Linked DNA regions of Cricetulus griseus. The protein of the gene in region 2 interacts with the protein of the main gene of each other region in a pairwise test. Links are inferred from orthologs where the notes say so. Each region holds a gene or a part of one and is shown on either strand. Other genes may lie near its edges.

Evidence for each region. The genes of interacting proteins can lie anywhere in the genome.
Region 1: the proteins of Cdk5rap3 (region 2) and Tspyl4 interact in binary tests that used the Homo sapiens proteins (3 or more experiments, as listed by UniProt). The two-hybrid records come from large-scale screens. The link is inferred for Cricetulus griseus from reciprocal best matches to the Homo sapiens genes CDK5RAP3 and TSPYL4.

Annotation. Positions count from the first base shown.
Region 1 is NC_048595.1:257,688,280-257,695,397, forward strand, and holds the start of Tspyl4 (testis-specific Y-encoded-like protein 4), read left to right. Parts: upstream 1-3,015; 5' UTR 3,016-4,829; coding exon 4,830-6,059; 3' UTR 6,060-7,118.
Region 2 is NC_048600.1:110,063,601-110,070,718, forward strand, and holds the start of Cdk5rap3 (CDK5 regulatory subunit-associated protein 3), read right to left. Parts: upstream 4,701-7,118; 5' UTR 4,554-4,700; coding exon 4,548-4,553; intron 4,526-4,547; exon of another isoform or gene 4,449-4,525; intron 4,361-4,448; coding exon 4,315-4,360; intron 1,618-4,314; coding exon 1,486-1,617; intron 1,236-1,485; coding exon 1,135-1,235; intron 797-1,134; coding exon 748-796; intron 125-747; coding exon 1-124. UniProt on the Homo sapiens protein: Substrate adapter of E3 ligase complexes mediating ufmylation, the covalent attachment of the ubiquitin-like modifier UFM1 to substrate proteins, and which is involved in various processes, such as ribosome recycling and reticulophagy (also called ER-phagy).

The sequences.
Region 1 (7,118 bases), on a different chromosome or scaffold from region 2:
ATATGTATCACATATACTTTTGCCCAATCAGCTTTTCTTTCAAATATTTATTGCAATTAGTCATTAGGCTAGTTCAAGGCCTTTGGCTTCTGCTACAACATCAATACTGGACCCTCAGAGAAACTCTCAGATACCCTACTGTAGCACTGAGGCATGGAATGATCCTACATTATGGATTGGTAGGGCTGGTCCCTTTACTTGCTGTAACAGTTCCTCAATGGGGAATATGTCGGGTGGGCCAGCTCAAAGCTCTGAATCTGGGCCTGGATGGCAGTTAAATTGGTCAGCCTGCCAGGTCTCCCTCATTCACACTACCAGAGCCAGCTCCCCTTCTGCCAGGTGAGGGGTGGGGCCAGCTCTCCCATGCCATGTCATAGGGGCTGGCTCTCCAGTGTCTCCACCAAGGCCAGTTCTCCCACACTGCCCAGAGGAGGGGCAAAACCATCTTTTCAGCCAGTAGCATCAACAAGAGATGGGGCCAGCTGTCCTGGGTCCTAAGGCCTGCTTTGCTGCCCAGGTGAGGGACAGGCCCTGCTCTTCCAAGTAGGTCAGTTAAAGAGGTGGGGGCAGCTCACCCACATCCAAGCAGTTGAAGCCAGCTCTCCTGTGTCACCCATGCGAGGGGCAGGGTTGGCTCTCCTGCACCCATGCTGTTGGGCCAACTCTCCCAAGCCCATGTCACTGTTGGTACCACTGTGTGCTAGTGCATGGAACGATGTTAAAAAAAAAACAACAAAAAAAACAAACAAACATTTTAGTTCCAACAATGAAGCCGTTTCTTCCTAATTAGCCAGAAATCACACGTGTCTGGAATCATTGGTAAACAATCAATGAGAAAGGAGTATTGTGGCTAAGTACTTTGGTTTCTAATCTTTGATCATTTAACTTGCATTCTTGGTGAAACTCAACTCTTTTCTTTCCCAAGTTTTCACTTATTTTCTTCATTCTATACACTGCTATAGCCTGTAGTTGTTGTATAATAGAATTTGATATTTGTACTGCCTGCAATATAGTCTATTTACTATAGGTATTCTTAGTATAAAAATAACGAAAATGGCCCAGTTGTCTTTTGCATATCTCAGTTCAGGTACCTTTTTCCTTCTTTATGATAGTTCTGTATGTAAATGTTATTTTGTTCATTTTATACAAGGGTACTGTGGCTTTGTCAAGTGAAACAACTTACCCACTCCAACCAATTTGTTAACCAGCACAACTAGGACTTGACTCCACAGTTTATGTTTTGGACTGGGGTCCTGGCGCAGTGGTAGAGAGCTTGTCTCACTTACTTGTGGTCCTGAGTTCAAATCCCAGTGCGACCACTACCACCGAAATAACAATTAAAAAAATCAAAATAACAGAGTGTATTTGCATAACCAATCCAGGTGTGAGAGGGAGGTCATCCAGTCAGGTCTTTTTCTCTTTCATTCTTTCTTTCTTTCTTTCTTTCTTTCTTTCTTTCTTTCTTTCTTTCTTTCTATGCATTGGAGAAAGCAAGGGCACATGAGTTTTGTTTTATTATTTTTAATGGAAAATATCACAGGGAACTATCATAAATACAAAAGTCTAAGAAAAAATTTTAATAGTTATAGGTTAAGTAGAATAAGGACTATATAGTTTAGCCTTTATAGTAGAATTTAAATACTGAATTTATGCTGAAAAGACATGCCACAGTTATGTCAATGAACTTATGATCTAAAATTGCCATAAATATTTTCTTCAGAATAGAGAAAATTCTACGTCAAATGCTGACAAACTAGAGCTAGATTTTTTCTCAAATTTTTGATTTAAGTTAGAAACAAGATTGTTTTACATGTCAATCCCCTCCCCTCCTCCCCTTCCCCCCACTAACACCCTACCTATCCCATACCATTTCTGCTCCCCAGGGAGGGTGAGGCCTTCCATGTGGGATCTTCAGAGTCTATCATATCCTTTGGGACAGGGCTCCCCTGTGTGTCTAGGATGAGGGAGTATCCCTCTATGTGGAATGGGCTCCCAAAGTCCATTCCTATACTAGGGATAAGTACTGATTTACTACAAGGGGCCCCATAGATTTCCAAGGCCTGCTCACTGACACTCACATTCATGGGGTCTGGATCAGTTCCATGCTGTTTCCCCAGCTATCAGTCTGGGGGCCAAGAGTTCCCCCTTGTTCAGGTCACCTATTTCTGTGGGTTTCACCAGCCTGGTTTTGACTCCTTTGCTCATCAATCCTCCTCTGCAACTGGATTCCAGTTCAGTTCAGTGTTAAGCTGTGGGTGCCTGCCTCTACTTCCATCAGCTGCTAGATAAAGCTCCTGGATGGCATATAAGTTAGTTATCAATCTCATTATCAGGAGAGGGCATTTAAGGTAGTCTCTCCATTGGTGCTTAGATTGTTAGTTGGTGTCATCCCTGTAGATCTCTGGACATTTCCCTAGTGCCTGATTTCTCTTTAAACATATAATGGCTCCCTCTCTTATGGTATCTCTTATTTTGCTCTTCTCTATTCTTCCCCCTATACAACCTTCCTGGTCCCTTATGTCCTCCTCACCCCTCTTCTTCTCCCTTTCTCATTCTCCTAGTTCCCACTCCCCTCCTCCATGCTCCCAATTTGCTCAGGAGATCTTGTCCCTTTCCCCTTCCCCGGGAAAGGACATGTATGTCTCTCGTAGAGTCTTCCTTGTTGCCTAGCTTCTCTGGTGGTTTTGATTATAGGCTGGAAATCCTTTGCTCTATGTGTAAAATCCATATGTCAGAGAGTGCATAGCATGTTTGTCTTTTTGTGACTGGGTTACCTCGCTCAGGATGGTTTCTTCTAGTTCCATCCATTTGCCTGCAATTTTCAAGATGCCATTGTTTTTTTTTTTCTGCTGAGTAGTACTCCATTGTGTAAATGTACCACATTTTCTGTATCCATTCTTCAGTTGAGGGGCATCTAGGTTGCTTCCAGGTTCTGGCTATTACAAACAATGCTGCTATGAACATAGTTGAACAGATGTCCTTGTTGTATGAATGTGCATCTTTTGTGTATATGCCTAAGAGTGGAATTGCTGGATCTTGTAGTAGACTGATTCCCATTTTCCTGAGGAATTGCCATACTGATTTCCAAAGTTAGAGCCAGATTTTTAATATTATCTTAAAGGCTGATTCCTCCCAGCTAGGGACCAGGAATGGAAATAGCTTATGTACAAGTGTTAAAACAAACAAACAAAAAACAAAACCAGAATGTGTGTTTACCACTTCTTAGTTGTGGGACTAATTATGGTTATTACAGTAAGTGTGTGTGGGCATTTATAGGAACTTCAGGGATGCTTGTCACTGAGACCATTCCTTCTATAAAATTATCACCCAGTGTTAAGCCTTCCCATTGACAAGACGTTTTCAGGCATGCACAGCACTTTGCACATGAAGCCAGAAATGACACTGTTTGAATATATGGCACATTTAGAATAATTTCCTGATTCATCTACACTAACACCATCGATGGTGAAACACACTGTATGTGAAACTAATCTTGTTTGCGCATTTTTATTTTATTTGGACAATTGATTTATTTTCTAGCAGGAAGAGGTCAATCTGAATATCCTGTCTTTGAGTAGGGACAGTTAACTTTGGATTAAAAAGAAAAAAATCAAACTGAATGATATTCCGTTCATTGTTCACCAGAGACTTTGTCATCACTTTCCAGTCTTAGTTGAACCAAGTACCACCACTTTCCTCACTAGAGTTCTTGGGGGAATGCTATTTTTCTTTAAACTCTTATTTCCAGAGTTGTATTTGAGCATAACCATACTCTGGGGGAGAGTCAATTAATCCCCCAATGTAAAGAGCTTGTTCTAATAGGAATTGAAACATTAAATATGCAGAATTTTAACAAACTAAGAGACAGTGTGATTACAAATAAATTCTCTAAGTTGACTTAAATGCATGACCTTTCTTTTTTTTTTTAAGTAGCTACTTTAAAGAGACAATAATTCAGCTGTCAAAAAAAGTGATAATTGTTTCTACTATTACAAAAGCAAATTTGGGCAAATGTTTGTTGGCTTCATATCCATGAAGCAGAAACTAAGATTATAACCCAAGACAAAGGAGCATTAATATGCATCGTTTTAGAAATTAAAGTCCTCTGAGATTGTATTTCCTCCAGAAATACCTAAGGGCTAAATTTGTGCATATGGCATTCGTGTGGCCACCTGTAAATAAGGAGCAGTTTAAACTATTCGTTTAAAAGTGAATAAATATCCAATTGCTTCATAAACGTTGGTCAATGTATACAAACATCAAAATGGTTACAGAAATTGAAATGTATCTTTTGACTGTCTTGTTTGCATGAAAATGGAAACAGTAACGACACTTCCTTTTCAAAATCAGATTCTGCGCAATTCCTCAGTAACCGCCATGACTCTGTGTCCCAAATAAGGAAGGCCTATGAGATGGTGAATTCGCTTTTCTATTTCTGAGGAGCTCGATGAGATCTGATTTTATTAGACAATAGCTCCTATTTTTTAATTTATTGCGTTTAGGTACTGTCGAAATTAATTCAGAGATTTACGAATACACATTAATATAATTCTGCATCCATTTATGTAAATGAACGCAATGTCCCAGAGAAGATTAAATTTACAGCATCTTATAAAAAGACAAAAAGAATACACTTGATTGACAAGCATAATTACCTGGGTAGCGAATTCTCGCGCTACAGTTAGCCGCAGCTGCTACTCTGACGTCACAGGTTGCCATGGTAGCAGCAGCCCTGAAGGAAAAGGGGTGGAGCTAAACACTCACTGCGGTGCTGCGCTGCGTCTGCAGAGGACAAGGAAGGCTCCTCTGCAGGGCTGACATCTTCCAAAATGAGCGGCCTGGATGAGGGCAATGAGCTCCCTCTCACTAACACCACGACCCCTGCCCCTGCCCGGGAAGATCTGGATCTGAATCAGGATCAGGGGCTCTGCGAGGAAACTGACGCAGCAGCGCGGGCGATGGAGGCTGCAGGTGAGGCCGGTGCGGAGGGAGGCGCGCCCCCGGATTCCGAGCACTGCGGACCTGCGCTTTGCCCTGCAGTGTCTGAGAATCATGGTGCTGAGGCGGCCGGAGAGGGGCTGGAGGATGCTCTGTCTCCATCAAAGGGCGGGGATGGAGCCTCAGCCCCTGCGGCAGTTGATGACAGCAATAAAAATGGCTGTCAGCTTGGAGGGCCGCGCAGCCCTGCTGGGCCGAAAGCTCTGGAAGCCTGTGGTGCCGTGGGCCTGGGGTCTCAGATGATGCCGGGGGTGAAGAAGACCAAGGAAATGATGGCGACGAAGTGCGCCATCTCTGCGCCCGCGGGAAAGGAGGGAGAAGCAGGGGCGGCGATGCCGGAAAAGAAGGGGGTACCGAAAGAAAAAAAGGTAGCTGGAGGAGGGAAGGAGGAGAATCGTCCTAGGCCCCCGAAGATCAATAATTGCATGGACTCGCTGGAGGCCATCGATCAAGAGCTGTCAAATGTAAATGCGCAGGCCGACAGGGCCTTCCTCCAGCTGGAACGCAAATTCGGGCGGATGAGAAGGCTGCACATGCAGCGCCGAAGTTTCATCATCCAAAATATCCCAGGTTTCTGGGTCACCGCTTTTCGGAACCACCCCCAGCTGTCACCAATGATCAGTGGCCAAGATGAAGACATGATGAGATACATGATCAATTTAGAGGTGGAGGAGCTTAAGCACCCAAGAGCAGGCTGCAAGTTTAAGTTCATCTTTCAAAGCAACCCCTACTTCCGAAACGAGGGGCTGGTCAAGGAATATGAGCGCAGATCCTCCGGTCGAGTGGTGTCGCTCTCTACTCCAATCCGCTGGCACCGGGGCCAAGAACCCCAGGCCCATATCCACAGGAATCGTGAGGGGAACACGATTCCCAGTTTCTTCAATTGGTTCTCAGACCACAGCCTCCTAGAATTCGACAGAATAGCTGAAATTATCAAAGGGGAGCTATGGTCCAATCCCCTGCAATACTATCTGATGGGCGATGGGCCACGCAGAGGAGTTCGAGTCCCACCAAGACAGCCAGTGGAGAGTCCCAGGTCCTTCAGGTTCCAGTCTGGCTAAACTCTGCCCTTTCAAGAAGCTCCTGCAGGAGAGTCCTACCATCTCCTCGGCTTGGCTAGCAGCATGCAGCCTTCTGTCTGCTTTCTCTTCCTGTTGGATTGTGTCCTTTGGTTCTTCTAAGTCTCCAGTAGTTTCAAGACTGTGGCTTCCAAGTCTGTGCTCTTCTTTCTCTAGGCCATCATGACATTCTGCATAGTGTTAATGGTGTTCCAAGTGCATGGCCTCCGAACTGCTTCTATGCCAAGCTCACAGTGCTGTAGTGTGTACTGCCTTCCTTTGCATGGCTTGGTTCCTGTCTGTGACCATGTCTTCTTCCAGTTTTGAAAAGTGGTTCTCTACCACAAGAAAGCTTGACACATCCTTACCAAGAACTAGCCAGGTTTCATACTGTGTCCCTGATGTCTATGTACTGTGATGAAGTGTGACTTTCACCACTGCAAGATGGAACTGTATCCCAACCCAGCCGTCAGCCCAACAGGACATTCCAACTGATTCTAGCTGTCTTCTTGGGCCTTTGCTCTTTGCCCTGCTTGTTATTAGTATAAAGGCTGGTGGGTGACTACTAGTCATGAGTGAAGTAACAGTCGAGGAGTGTTTTATGTTTCCACATTGGTCTTGTACCTTTGGTTACTGTGCATCGTGATCAGCTACTGGTGAGTATGAAGACCTGTGCAATTGCCCACCAGTTCTCTTCTGGTTGAGCTTTGCACAGGCCAACACTGTTCCTCAGGAACTAATGACCTAAGCTCCTAGGCAGCACACAGGATCACTTACAGTATGTAGCATTGCTCACGACTCAGTTGGCTATTGGGCAGGATGTGTAGTCACATGTGGCAGTGCCCAAGGCAAACTGGAGTGGCTCCCTTCTAGCAGTTAGTTTCTTCTGAGCCCTAGCCAATAAATTATTCCGAATCCAGGCAACTTTGTTAGGTAACCCCCCTCTTCCTTCGTCCACACCCACTCTGATTAAGTCCAAGCTGCCTAGGTCAGGGTGGTTAGAAATCATTTGTGGCACACAGGGTTTGCTGTGTCTTTCTCTCACTGACTCTTCTCTCTTTT
Region 2 (7,118 bases):
CCAGCCTGGCCCTCTTCCTCCTTGCGGCTGTATTCTTGCTGCAGCTGCTGGCACTTGGCAATCTGCTTCTTCAGCAAGGGGATCTCATAGCTGACATTCCGAACCAAGAGGCTAGAAAGTTCCACTGAGGAAGGCCCAGGAAATTTACTGTAGGACACCCTTGCCCGAAGGTGCACACAGATACCATAGCATGGTGGGGAAGAGGGCGTTGGCTTCTCAACTTCTTCTCATTCCTAGCTCTGGGACCTGAGACAAGTTATGTACCTTCTTTTCTTCAATCCTCAGCTCCCAAGCAAGGACCATACTGTTTATTGTGTGTATCCATACAAAACACCAACCAGAACCCCTTGCACTTAAGTGCCTGATATACATTAATTATTATAATTATTTACTATCCTGATTCACAATCCAAACTACAATCAGCCCATTAGCTTCTCTCTCTCAGGCTCCCAATATGGCCTCCAGGATGACCCATAGCTCTTCTGCCTACTGCAGAATAGGAATGCAGAGAGAGTAGGGGCAGTATATGCTACCTCCCGGATAGGTCAGACACCTGCTCAGTTGAGCATATAAACATCCACTTCCTGCCTGATCATTCTTCTCCCCCAGCACTTGAGGAACTGTTTCTCACACCTACATACAATCAGGCAACATCTGTACTGCCTTCCATTTCCTTCTATGTGGTGTTTCAGAACCCCAGCAGTGGGCTTCTTCAAGGATGCCAGGGCCACTTTAGGCTCACTTTACCTAAGTAGGTGTTGTCCTTCTCATACAGGCCTATGATCTCCTGCCAATCCTGAGAAGAACAGAGGGGAAAACAGTCAGGGGAGCACTCAGCAGCTCCTCACAGACAATCCCTGCAGAGGAGCTGCCCCAGGCTTCCTAGCATACCAGACACAAACTCCTCGCCTTCCTCCAGCTTTAACGCTGGTTGGAGCACCCACATGATTCAGAGACCATGATATCTAACAGTGGTTCCCAAAGGTCTGGACATGCAAGCCCAGGGGACAGGTCTACTTTGGTATAAACTATAGGGACAAAGAAAGATCAGGAAATATACTATACAGGCATTTGCCTTGTTCATCTGTGAGACTAGATAGGCTGTGGATTGGATGTCCCCAAGGGCACACTTACCTTCATCCGCTGTGAAGAGTACCGGCCGAAAATATTTTTGGTGGAGGCCTCAGTACCTTTAAGAAGGTCCACTATTCTTAGGCAGTGGAAGTAATGAATGTCTAGAAAGCAAGAATGGGGACTTTCAGAATTCTGCCATCCTTCCTTTGGCTATTGCAGGTGGCTGACCCACGTATACTGCTGCCAGTTATTTTAGCATGGAAGAAACCAGCATCTACAAACCAGAAAACAAAACAAAACAATCTCTCTGGCTGGGGTCAGCCCTGGTGGCTCAATAAGGGAATGGCCTGGTAGACACACAGGGCTCCAGGAGGGAGGGGGACTCCAGTGACAAGGCTCCTAATCACTCACAAGACCCAGATAGCAGCTGGGCAATCTCTTGGCTCTCTGGCATGTCCTGGATGGCAGTGTTGATTTTCTCCCGGATGGTCAGCACCAGACTTTGCCATTTTAGGTTGCAGTGTCGTCTGTCCACTAGCCAATCTGCGTGAGAATCAGTTTAGTTGCCACAGCCTGCCACACCTCCAACCCCCCATCAGGAATTCACTAGTTCAAGTGTCACATACTGGATATTGAACAGCAGCTGTTTTTGTATTGGCTAAGGTATCAGAGGGAGAACTGGCAAGATGAAAAGGCAGACAGACTCTGAGAGGTGCTTGGGCTAAACAAGCTCCGGCGCCCTGACTTTATCCCCAGTATAAGTTTTACAGAGCAACTGCCTCAACACAGGGATCAAGAAAAACTTTAAATTGGTCCTGACATGAAAGTGCCACTTTTGACCATTCTAAATTCTCCATAATATTTTGCTTCTGTGGGTAATTATATCTTTCTTGTTGACAGAGGGTGCTGCTCAACTTCCATTTCCTCAGGGCTGGGATTAACCAGGACAATGAAAAACACACGGTGGTTATGCCAAGTACCGGATGAATGAACAACTGCAAAGCCCCTAAGACCTACAGTGCCCCAAGAACTGGATAATGTTAGCTGATGGTTCGTTCGTTCTTTCTTTCTTTCTTTCTTTCTTTCTTTCTTTCTTTCTTTCTTTCTTTCTTTCTTTCTTAGACAAGGTCTCTCTATAGAGCCCTAGCTGTCCTGGAACTCACTATGTAGACCACAATGCCCTTGAACTCACAGAGCCTGCCTCTGCCTCTCCAGTGCTGTGATTAAAGGCGTGTTCCACCACCACCCAGCCTAGTTGCTGGTCTGTTCTTAACAGTGAAGTGCCATGCTGCCATATGACTACCAGTATAACTGACCTGGTTTTGAGGCCTAAGAGTCATGATCATCTCCTAAGGAGAGAACTAAGGTTTTACAGTTAAATGGTCCTGGGGTTGAATTATCAAGTTTATTTAAGATATTTTATTAAAAACTTATAATATTTGGAGCCGGGTGTTGGTGGCGCATGCCTTTAATCCCAGCACTCAGGAGGCAGAGGTAGGTGGATCTCTGTGAATTCGAGGCCAGCCTGGTCTACAAGAGCTAGTTCCAGGATAGGCTCCAAAGCCACAGAGAAACCCTGTCTCGAAAGACAAAAAACAAACAAACAAAATCTTATATTTGTTAATTTATATACACTGTGCATGTTATGTGTGTGTTGGAGCACACATGTGCCACAGCTCACAAGTGGAGGTCAGAGGACAACTTCTGGGAGCCAGTTCTCTCCTTCCACCATGCGGGTCCTGACTGTCAACTCAGATCATCAGGTTTGGCAGTAAAGAACATTTACTACCGAGTCATCTTGCTGGCTCTAAATATCAAGTTCCTCAATCAAGTTTCATCCTCTCTGTGCCTCAGCTTCCCCACACGTAAGATGATGTGCTCAATACTGTGCCTTGTGCATAGCAGTGACTCAGTACATCTTAGTGGTTTCGTTTTAATAAAGACAAGTATACAATGGACTTGGTATGGAGCAAACATTCAGTAAACAGCTTTCTTTCTTTCTTTCTTTCTTTCTTTCTTTCTTTCTTTCTTTTTTTTTTGTTGTTTGTTTGTTTTTCGAGACAGGGTTTCTCTGTGTAGCTTTGGAGCCTATCCTGGCACTCGCTCTGGAGACCAGGCTGGCCTCGAACTCACAGAGATCCGCCTGCCTCTGCCTCCCAAGTGGTCAGTAAACAGTTTTCTACTGGTTCTTTCTCATGAATGGAGATTGAGCTCCAACACCAGGGTGGGTGCATAGTGTGTTCACACACTATGACTATACAGTGGCCCTGGCCTATAACCCCAGCACTTAGCTAAGGCAGAAGCTTCACCAGGACTGAATGTTCCCCTCTCATAGTGGTAAATTTAAAAAGGTGGCCTTGTTGACAAATCTGTCAACTGAGATATTTGTATCTCAAGCTTCAGTAGTATCAGAAATTCTGTTTCTGCTGTGTTCCTTTAAAATTGTCGGAAAGAAAAACGGTAGAGGTCAGAATCACAAGGGGCTGAAGTCGTCAAATACCCTCTTAGGGAAATGATTAACACTGGACTGAGGAATCAGGGAACATTTAAGGTGCCAGGAGCTGTGCACATGTACAGCAGTGACAGAATGAGGGAAATAAACAAGCGACAGAGAGGGCCTGTCTTTAGGATCTCTCCATGCAGTCCTAGCTGTCTTAGATTTGCTATGGAGACCAGGCTGGCCTCTGCCTCCCAAGTGCTGGGACTAAAGGCCGGGTACTGATATTGCTAAGTGTTCCTGGCCAGGCTGGTACTTGCTATGTAAACCAGTCTGTCTGAGAAGTGCCAGCAATCCTCCTGCCTCAGCCTCCTAAGTGTCATGGTTACCAGCATGAGCCACCATCCCTGGTACAAAAGATCTTAGGTTCCTCTTACCCATAAATTCAAAGGGGAATTGAAACTTTAAAAGTAAGTGGGAGGGGTCTTCCCACCCCAAAATAACGCAAAAAGTACGAAGCCAGAACCAAAGAGACCTAGGTCCAAATGGATAGGCCATTTGGTAACTGCCCATCTTTAACGCTAGCCACTTGTCCTGTGTGCCCGAATAGGATTTGATACTACGTTACAAATGTTAAAAGTAGAAAACAAGGAGCCAGTAAAGGCTTTCCATATGCTTCCTTCAAACAAGTCGGGCCACAGTAAGGCACCTCAACCCAGACTTTGACAGCTCCTGGCTGCTGGTGACAGTGGGCAAGTAGCAGGCCTCCCCGACAGCCAACCGCGCGGGGGCGCCTCTCCTACCGAGCAGCTTGCTGGTCTGGATGTCGATGGGCACGTGCTGATGGTCCTGGTGGGAAACACGACAGGTAGGGGGGCGTGAACGCGGGAAGGCACCGTGCCTCGCGCGCGCTCATTGCACACACCCAACCGCCAACCTGCAGGACCAGAGCGCCCGGCTGAGGCCAGGAGGGGCTGAGGAAGCAGGACAGGGGTCCCAGAGCACACCCCAGTTTCTCCAGCCCTGCTCCCCACACCTGCATCCTTTCTCCACTTCCGCTTCCGGCCAAGACCCCGGCCCGGCCCGGCACCAATCCTGAGCCGGCGTGCGGGAGCCCCGCTTCAGAAACAAACCGGCCTCCTTCAGCCACGTCGTCGTCTTCCGCGGAGCCAATCCGAGCCCACGCTCCGCCCCCTGCTGGAATCCCCGCCCACCAAGAGGTTCTGAATGGCTGAGTACCGGATGGGCGGACAGCCAATGGGAGGCGAGAGGCGGGCTCGGGCGCCGTGAGCTTCTGGAAGGGCTGCAGCGCTGGCGCGAAGGCGGTAGGGGGCACCCAAGAGCCGGTGTAGGCGGCTTGTGCCCTGCCGGGCGCAGAGCCCCCTGCTGGAGAACGAACACGTCCGCGGACAGGGTCCTAGCGCCGTCCGGAGGGCTTTTTGAAAGCAGTTGAAATTATTTTCTTCCGGTTCCCGTTACCACCTATAGAAGATCGTAGGCGCTTGTCACGCTTTGTCCTCCCATTTCGTTTATCTGATAGACATGGGTTTTAAGCCCCTGATTCTTGTTGGGAGATTAGGGAAGGGAGAGGACGAGACACTCGCATTGAGAATTAGAGGAAAAGCAGCAGAGGAAGGACGATGTGTGGAAACGGTGTTCCCGGTGGAAGAGACTATCCAAACTTTACAGACCACACACTGCAAGGGGAGTTCAGGGGAAAGACAGGCAGGGGACACTGGCAGCTCATGTGTGGTCGGTCCAACACGAAGTGGAATGTGAGATTCCTTGTTTAAAAAAAAAAAATTATGACCCTTTTCAAGAGGACACTGTGCAGGTGTCCTACCTATGGCTGATCTTAGGCCCACAGTAAATGGTTTAAAGCAGGGAATGACCTGAGAGGAGGTTGTAAAATGTAAGGGTCATATCAAATAAGGAACTTGGACTTCACCCCTGCAGATAAAGAGGAAACACTGAAAGGTTTGGGACAAGGAAGGATGTGCACATATTCATTATAAGGATGGGTTAATGGGAGATAAGACTGGAGACAGAAACTAGAAGAGGCTGAAATGCAGGAGTTTGGGCCTGACCCAGGGCACAGGCTGTGGGGAGGAGACGAGCAGAATTTGAAAGATGTTTAGGAAGAAAATGGACAGGACTTGGCAATAGATTGGCTGAGTGGGTGAGGAGAAAGACACCAAAAGTGACACTCAAACCGTGGTGGTGACCTACACTTTTAATCCCAGCATTTGGGAGGCAGAGACAGGTGGACCTCTGTGAGTTTGAGGCCAGCCTGGTCTACAGAGCTAGTTCCAGGGTTACACAGAGAAACCCTGTCTCAAGCAAAACAAGATGACACTCAGTGTTGGGTGGGAGTGTCACCACTTGAGGCAGAATGCAGGAGGCAGAGCATGTGTTGGAGAGGAGGGGCTTTGAACTTGTGGAGTTAGCATTGTTGGGAAACCATCAAGTGGGAAGTATGCAGAAGGCACCTGGGTCACTGGGTGGTGGTGGTGGTGGTGGTGGTGGTGGTGGTGGCACACACCTTTAATCCCAGCACTCCGGAGGCAGAGGCAGGCAGATCTCTGTGAGTTCGAGACCAGCCTGGTCTACAAGAGCTAGTTCCAGGACAGCCTCCAAAGCCACAGAGAAACCCGGTCTTGTGGAGAGAGGGAGAGAGAGAAAGAGAGAGAGAGAGAGAGAGAGAGAGAGAGAGAGAGAGAGAGAGAGAGAAGACACCTAGGGAGTCTGTATTTAGACTGGAAAGGACAGCTTTTGGAAAGTCATAAACTGAGTTGTTGTCATGGTTCAGTGACAGATTCAGTCAAGGGAGTGATTCAGATTTGGATTAGAAGTGGTAGAGTAAAGAGAGAGGGTGAGATGAAGGTCCCAAGGACCTAACAGATCTGGGGATGGCATTTTCCTGAATGCCATCTTCCTTCTTCACTGTCCCCAAAACAGCACAATACCCAGGACTTAGTAGTTTCTGGACTGAACTACTGGGTGTGATACAGTAGTGGGTAGACCTAGATTCTGGCCCTGTGAGATTTTGGATAGTTTCCACACTTCTCCGATAGCCACAGTTCTTTCAATGTAGAGATAACAGCCTATCTCAGGGTATTTGTTTAGAGGCTTAAATAAATAAACATACTAAAGGTGCAGGACTCAGGATGAGCGGCAGAGCTTAGTTGGTGGAGTGTTTGCCTAAGACACATGAGCTCCTGGATTCTATCCCCAGCACCACGTAGGACCAGAAATGGTGGCACATATCTGTAATCCCAGCACTTGGGAGGCAGAGGCAGGAGGTTCAGACATTCAAGGTCATCCTGGACTACATAGTGATTTTGAGGACATCCAGTCTCAAAACAGAGAGAGAAAAGAAAAGAAAGGAAACATTAGGAGGCTGGAGAGATGGTTCAGCAGGTAAGAGCACTAGCTGCTCTTCTAGAGGACCTGAGTTCAATATCTAGCACCCACACAGCCACCCACAACCATCTGTAACTCCAGTTCCAGGGGAATCTGACACCCTCTTCTGGCCTCCTCCATGAGCATCAGACACATACATGGAACACAGACATACACACAGGCAAAACATTCATACACCTAAAAA